Linked DNA regions of Oryctolagus cuniculus. The protein of the gene in region 1 binds, or shares a complex with, the protein of each later gene. Links are inferred from orthologs where the notes say so. Each region holds a gene or a part of one and is shown on either strand. Other genes may lie near its edges.

What was found. The genes of interacting proteins can lie anywhere in the genome.
Region 2: the proteins of RNH1 (region 1) and RNASE1 are in contact, whole or in part, in a crystal structure (PDB 3TSR), measured with the Mus musculus proteins. The link is inferred for Oryctolagus cuniculus from reciprocal best matches to the Homo sapiens genes RNH1 and RNASE1. Residues at the interface, in NP_001165571.1 of Mus musculus: Cys7, Asp32, Thr60, Asn89, Asp117, Glu145, Tyr146, Asn174, Glu202, Trp257, Trp259, Glu283, Ser285, Trp314, Lys316, Glu340, Glu397, Ser401, Asn402, Gln426, Val428, Tyr430, Asp431, Ile432, Tyr433, Trp434, Thr435, Asn436, Glu437, Arg443; in NP_035401.2 of Mus musculus: Arg26, Glu27, Lys32, Gln36, Pro48, Thr49, Gln53, Lys56, Arg57, Met60, Asn62, Gly63, Ser64, Cys65, Lys66, Pro67, Val68, Asn92, Lys94, Asn96, Leu111, Lys112, Gly113, Asn114, Ser115, Lys116, Asp121, Ala134, Glu136, Val143.

The regions. Positions count from the first base shown.
Region 1 is NC_091432.1:183,026-185,679, reverse strand, and holds part of RNH1 (ribonuclease inhibitor), read left to right. Parts: exon of another isoform or gene 1-216; intron 217-460; 5' UTR 461-515; coding exon 516-601; intron 602-1,563; coding exon 1,564-1,734; intron 1,735-2,119; coding exon 2,120-2,290; intron 2,291-2,436; coding exon 2,437-2,607; intron 2,608-2,654. UniProt on the Homo sapiens protein: Ribonuclease inhibitor which inhibits RNASE1, RNASE2 and angiogenin (ANG). May play a role in redox homeostasis. Required to inhibit the cytotoxic tRNA ribonuclease activity of ANG in the cytoplasm in absence of stress.
Region 2 is NC_091443.1:54,022,439-54,026,186, reverse strand, and holds RNASE1 (ribonuclease pancreatic), read right to left. Parts: upstream 2,380-3,748; 5' UTR 2,275-2,379; intron 1,138-2,274; 5' UTR 1,113-1,137; coding exon 669-1,112; 3' UTR 429-668; downstream 1-428. UniProt on the Homo sapiens protein: Endonuclease that catalyzes the cleavage of RNA on the 3' side of pyrimidine nucleotides. Acts on single-stranded and double-stranded RNA.

The DNA.
Region 1 (2,654 bases):
TGCGGGTCTGCCTTGACCTTTCGTGGGACACGGATGGCTTCGGGGGCGCCCCTCCCCCTCCCCGCCTGTCTCCAGGCCGGGACTGGGCTCAGCTTCGCTGTCGCTCACTCCCGCCTGGCTGGTGGCCTGGCGTCTCCTAGGGCTGGGTCTGGGCTGGCCCAGGGTGAGGGCCCCAGCCTGGAGGCTGTCAGGACGCTGGGACCTGGGTGGCCGCCCGTGAGTGCCCGTCGCTGTGGGGTGACGTCCAGGGTCCTGGCCTCGTGGGACTGTGGTGCTGGCAGTGTGGGGAGGGAGGGGCTCCACCACGGGCCCCGCCCCAGCCCCCCCTTCCCCTCGAGGCAGAGGCTTCCCGGTGCACACCTGCTGTGCCCCTGCCCTGGGTGCAGGGAGGCCGTGCCTGGGCCCCCAGCCTCCTGGGTTCTGTGGTGGGAGGGGCATCTGGACTCCTGCTGTTCCGCAGCTCTTGGGCCGGTACGCACTCTCCTTCCCGCCTGGACCACACTGCGGCCCCCACCATGAGCCTCGACATCCAGTTCCAGCAGCTGACCGACGCCGGGTGGACGGAGCTCCTGCCCCAGATCCAGCAGTGCCCAGTGGTCAGGTCAGCTGGTGGACACACGGGCCAGCTGCTTCTGCACGGGGGCTGGGCCCCTGGGCTGTGGCAGCGTCTGTCTTGGTTCGGTTTGGGTATTTTAAAAGATTGATTTATTTGAGAGGCAGCGTGACAGAGCGAGAGCCTCGTCCGCTGGTTCACTCCCCAGATGGCCGCAACGGCCGGGACTGGGCCAGGCTGCTGCCAGGAGCCAGGAGCTTCACCCAGGTCTCCCACAGGGGTGCAGGGGCCCAAGGGCCTGGGCCATCTTCCTCTGCCTTCCCAGGCCACAGCAGGGAGCTGGGTCGGAAGTGGAGCCAGCGCCCACGTGGCTCACCGCGGCCCCGGCCCTGGCAGCCGGTCACTTGTGACTCTTAGGGGTTTTTCAGCCATTTAAAAATACAAGAATCCCGCGGCGGCTTGGGCAGGGCTGAGGACCCGGGGGCGGTCAGGGCCCGGGACCCAGCCTGTCCCCGTGCAGCGGCTCTCGCGGCCCCGGTGCCTGCCGTCCTGGTTTTCCTCTGGCAAATCTGAAGCCATCTTAGACTTGGAAGAGTTGGGAGGACAGTGTGGGCCCTGCCCGGTGCCGGAGCCTGCCCCAACAAGGCCTCTCGGCCCGGCCGCCCCACTGCCCACAGCTCAGCCCGCTGCCACTTGGAGCTTGGCTGCTCCCCCAGGGTCCCCAGGGGGCCCTCTGCTCCCTCCCCGGGCGACTTCATCCCGCTTCTCTTCCTGGGCTCTCCCAGGGGTGCTCAGGAGGGGACAGTGGCAGCTGGGGACACCATCTGCCCCGGGAGGCTGCCACCGGTCATCTCCAAGGTGTTTGCCCCGCAGGACCTCCCGCCCTCCTTGGAGCCGGTGGGGGGATGGTGGTGCTGGCTCCGCCTCTCCCGTGTCCGTTCCCTTGGGGGTGCCTGTGGGGTAGGGGCCCCCAAGCCCCTGGACGCATGCTGACCGGGCCCCGCCCGCAGGATTGAGGACTGTGGCCTCACCGAGCCCCGGTGCCGGGATGTGAGCACCGCCCTGCAGGCCAACCCTGCCCTGACCGAGCTCAGCCTGGACCTCAACGAGCTGGGGGACGCGGGCGTGGGCCTGGTGCTGCAGGGCCTGCAGAGCCCCGGCTGCCAGCTGCGGAAGCTCAGGTGCTGGAGGGCGGCTGGGCGCAGCCTGGGGCAGGGGCCGGGCGGCTCGGGCACAGCCTGGGGCAGGGGGCGGCTGGGCACAGCCTGGGGCAGGGGGCGGCTGGGCGCAGCCTGGGGCAGGGGCTGGGCGGCTGGGGGCAGCCTGGGGCGGGGGCGGCTGGGGGCAGCCTGGGAGAGGGGGCGGCTGGGCGCAGCCTGGGGCAGGGGCTGGGCGGCTGGGCACAGCCTGGGGCGGGGGCGGCTGGGGGCAGCCTGGGGCAGGGGCGGGGGCGGCTGGGCGCAGCCTGGGGCGGGGGCGGGGCGGCTGGGGGCAGCCTGGGGCAGGGCCGGGGCGGCTCGGGCGCAGCCTGGGGGCAGCCCTGACGGCCCCGCCTGCCCGCTGCAGCCTGCAGACCTGCTGCCTGACCGAGGCTGGCTGCGGGGTCCTGCCCAGCGCCCTCCGCGCCATGCCCAGCCTGCGGGAGCTGCAGCTCAGCGACAACGCCCTGGGGGACGCGGGCCTGCGGCTGCTCTGCCAGGGACTGCTGGATGCGCAGTGCTGCGTGGAGAGGCTGAGGTGACGCCCGCCGCCCTCCTGGGCCGCCCCCTGCGCGCGGAGCCCGGCATGGGGAGGCCCTGGGTGCTCGCGGTCAGCACGGGGGGGGGCAGGGCGGGCTGGGCCGGGGGCTGCAGCCCTGCGCCCAGCGCGAGGCCTTCCCCCAGGCTGGAGTACTGCAAGCTGTCGGCCGCCAGCTGCGAGGCCCTGGCCTCCGTGCTGCGGGCCAAGCCCGGCCTCAAGGAGCTGGCGCTGAGCAACAATGACCTTGGGGAAGCCGGCGTCCGCGCGCTGTGCCAGGGCCTGAAGGACTCGGCCTCCCAGCTGGAGGTGCTCAAGTACGGTGCGGGACGCGGGACGCGGGCGTGGGGCTTGGGGCGCGGGT
Region 2 (3,748 bases), on another chromosome or scaffold:
TAAGTTGAAATCTACTTGTTATCTAGCAATTTCTTCATCCCTCCCAGCTCTAAAATCTAGGGTTCTGATTTTCTGAGTAAGCGGATCATTTTTTTCTGCTCACTCAACAAAGAAGGATAAAGGAAATTCAAGGTCACAATTTCATAAATTCCTCCTCCCCACCCTGGGCTCAAGCTCTCCTTCCTTCTTCACCAGAGAATTGTAGTATTCAAGTTCTACCCCCTCTATATAAGGCTGCAGCTCCCTTTTACCTAAAACAGCCTACATTCAAGAGTTTTATGTTCAGCATCAAGAAATCTGCAAGGAAAGAAATTTTTCTCAAGTCACTTAAATCCAAGAGTTAGAAAGGAAGGCACCTAATTACTCCAGGTGCCATACAAAAAGCTAATGGAAACAGAACTGAATGGAAAACTCCAGAAATCAGGATGTTGGTTGCAACTAAGTTTTATTGAAAGAAACAGTGATCAGGTTAACATGGGACTCCCCCCACAACACACTCCTGACACCCCACCACCCAAACCATGGAGAAGCAAGTCTCAAAAAGTGTGTGTGTTGGAGAATAGACTTAACTGGAGTTGTTTCCCTTATGGTAAGGAAGGAGGAAGGGAATGGCAGTGTCAAAATGATGGGCTTGGCGATGGGGGGAAGTGCTTCATTCTGCTCTGGCCTTACTCCACAGAAGCGTCAAAGTGGACTGGCACAAATGGGTTCCCCTCACAAGCTAAAATGATGTATCTTTCTTTCTGAACGGTCTGGTACTTGCAGTCAGGGTACTTGGATGTATCTAACAGGGAGCAGTCTGTGGTGTGCATTTTGGAGGTGCTCCGGTAGCAGTTGGTCTTCCCGTCCTTGCAGGTGACCTTCTCCTGGAAGCAGACTGCCTGGATCTTTTTCAGGGGTTCGTGCACAAAGGTGTTCAGTGGCTTGCAGCCCTGTGTCATGTCCTGTTGCTCCATCTTTTTGTTGCAGTAGGTGCTGCTGAGGGGAAGTTTTGGATCTATGTGCTGCCGCTGGAACTTCTTGGCCGGGGACTCGTTGTCCAAAACAGACTGTGCCAATCCCAGCATCAGCAGCCCCAGGACAAGTAGGATGAGGGGTCTGTCCAGAGCCATGGCGATCTCACTTTCCTGGAAGAGTCTGATTGGGAAAGGGAGAGAGAAAGAGAAGCATCCTCTCACAAAGAGAATTCCTCCTGCCACCTGTGGCCTCCGTGGTTTCCAATCTCACTTTCATATCAGGCAGACATCCCTCTTCCTGAGAGTTTGTCCCAGTGAGGAAACACTGGCATGCACCTTTCTCCAAGTGTGTTTTATTGCCACTTGCTAGACAGAGGCCCTCCATCCCTCCAGGTGGGGATCACAAGTGACCTAAAATCCTGGGAGTGTGCCGGCGCCGTGGCTCAACAGGCTAATCCTCCGCCTGCGGCACCAGCACACTGGGTTCTAGTCCTGGTCGGGGCGCCGGATTCTGTCCCAGTTGCCCCTCTTCCAGGCCAGCTCTCTGCTGTGGCCCGGAAAGGCAGTGGAGGATGGCCCAAGTGCTTGGGCCCTGCACCCGCATGGGAGACCAGGAGAAGCACCTGGCTCCTGCCTTCAGATCAGCACAATGCGCCGGCTGCGGCGGCCATTGGAGGGTGAACCAACGGCAAAAGGAAGACCTTTCTCTCTGTCTCTCTCTTTCTCACTGTCCACTCTGCCTGTCAAAAAAAAAAAAAAAATCCTGGGAGTATTGTCTTTGAATACTGGAGTTTCTTTGACCCCAAAATACAGTTGAAAAATAAAATACATGTGTGCCCAATGTGCAAATAGCTCATTAGAAGATCATTTTCAATAAACTGTGAGCCAGACCCTGGAGTTATTACCAGGACCATGTTATTATCCAGAACCTTATCTGAAAGAGCCTCGTTCTTACAACTCCAAGGACACTCAGTCCCGTGCCTGCCACTGGCATCATAAAGGGATTTCACTGTATTTCAGTGAGAGATGCTTTCCTCCTCCAGAGTGGGGAATCCCTCTTCTCCAGCCCCATGAGTATCTTTGCAGCCTGCAAGTTCCATCCCCCAAGCCCCTCCCCCTAGCAGATACAGACCTGACACAAGCTTTGTGGGCACTAGTGTCAGCCCAAACTTTCTGACCTATATGTCAGAGCTAAGCAGGAATTACAGAGAAACCAAACCCCAAATTTAGGAGTGGGAAAAGTGCTGAGTTTTCTGGCTCTCTTCTTCCCAACTCTCAAGTAGAAGCAGCTCCTGGAAGCATCTCTTGGGCTGCTTACCTGATCTCCAGCTCAGTCCCCTGGAGGGAGTGGATGGGCAGTTTCTGCAGTTACTCCGTCCATGGGCTGTGCATTTTATATTAAACTGTGAAGGGGGGTTGGCTTCTAAGAAGAAAAGAGCGGGAAGGTTATCTAGGGCTCAGAACAGGTGAAAACAAGGATGTTGTCAGGAAAGGAGTGGGGAAGCAACCAGGCCACTCCCTTTTCAGGACTTTTGAGAAGAGTGAATCATTGCCTCTAAGAATTTTTCTTACCATGTAAACCTCATCTATATGGTGATTCATAAGGAATGCCTGCATTGGCGCCTAAATCTCACATACACCAAAAAAGCCAGGTACCTCTTTGAGGTCCCTTTTCACCAAAGAGTCCTTGAAAGTTAACAAAGGGGGGGCCAGTGCCATGGTGCTGTAAGTTAATCCTCTGCCTGCAGCGCCAGCATCCCATATGGGCACTGGTTCAAGTCCCAGCTGCTCCTCTTCTGATCCAGCTCTCTGCTATGGCCTGGGAAAGCAGTAGAGGATGGCCCAAGTCCTTAGGCCCCTGCACCTGTGTGGGAGACCTGGAAGAAGCTCCTGGCTCCTGGCTTCACATCGGCTTAGCTCCGGCCATTGCACCGGCCGTTGCACCAGCCGTTGCAGCCATTTGGGAGGTGAACCAGAGGGATGGAAGACCTTTCTCTCTGTCTCTGTCTCTGTCTCTCTCTGTCTCTCTCTCTCTCTCATTGTCTGTAATTCTAACTTTCAAATAAATAAATAAAATCTTAAAAAAAAAAAAAGTTAACAAAGGGCTTGTAAGATGACTATGGGAGAGGGAGAACTTCTCTCCCCAGGGGTCCTGGAAAAACTCTGGTTGGAATTCCACATCTCCCAACAGCACCTGACCTGGGCAGGTAGGGCGGGAATAGGGGATTGTCCTGCTGCCCCCCAGGAAGGCTTCAGGACCTGGAGAAGGAAGGAGGGCTGTATCTGATCAGTAAGGAGAGGAAGTGGCTGCTTCCTCTCACCCTCCACCCCCACGCTGGGGTCTATGATGGTTTTCGTTTAAATATGTAGTGATCACTGATTCTATAAGTCAGAGCTGAGTACAGAAATCAAAAGATAAATCAAACTTCCAAATTTTCAGGTGGGCAAAATACAAAATTGGCTGATTGACAGCTCCAGACTAAGAGTTATCCAAGTATCCCTCTGGGATCTAGATTCAGGCAGCAGAGCCAGTTACAGAATTTAATTTCCCTGTTCTAAAGTTTCTTTGTCTCTAAAGAGGAGACAATAATACATACTTCTTAGATTTGCTGTTAGGCTGAAATAAGGTGCAGAAGGCTCTGAGGAATCGCCTGGCAAAGAGAGAGAATTCATGTGTGTCAGCTCTTGCGATGGTCCACAGGGGATGGGAGATCATTTAAACAACACGAGGGGATCTTTGAACTGCTTTTTGATGAGGATAGAGTCAAGTAATTGCCAAGCTTTTGTTTTTG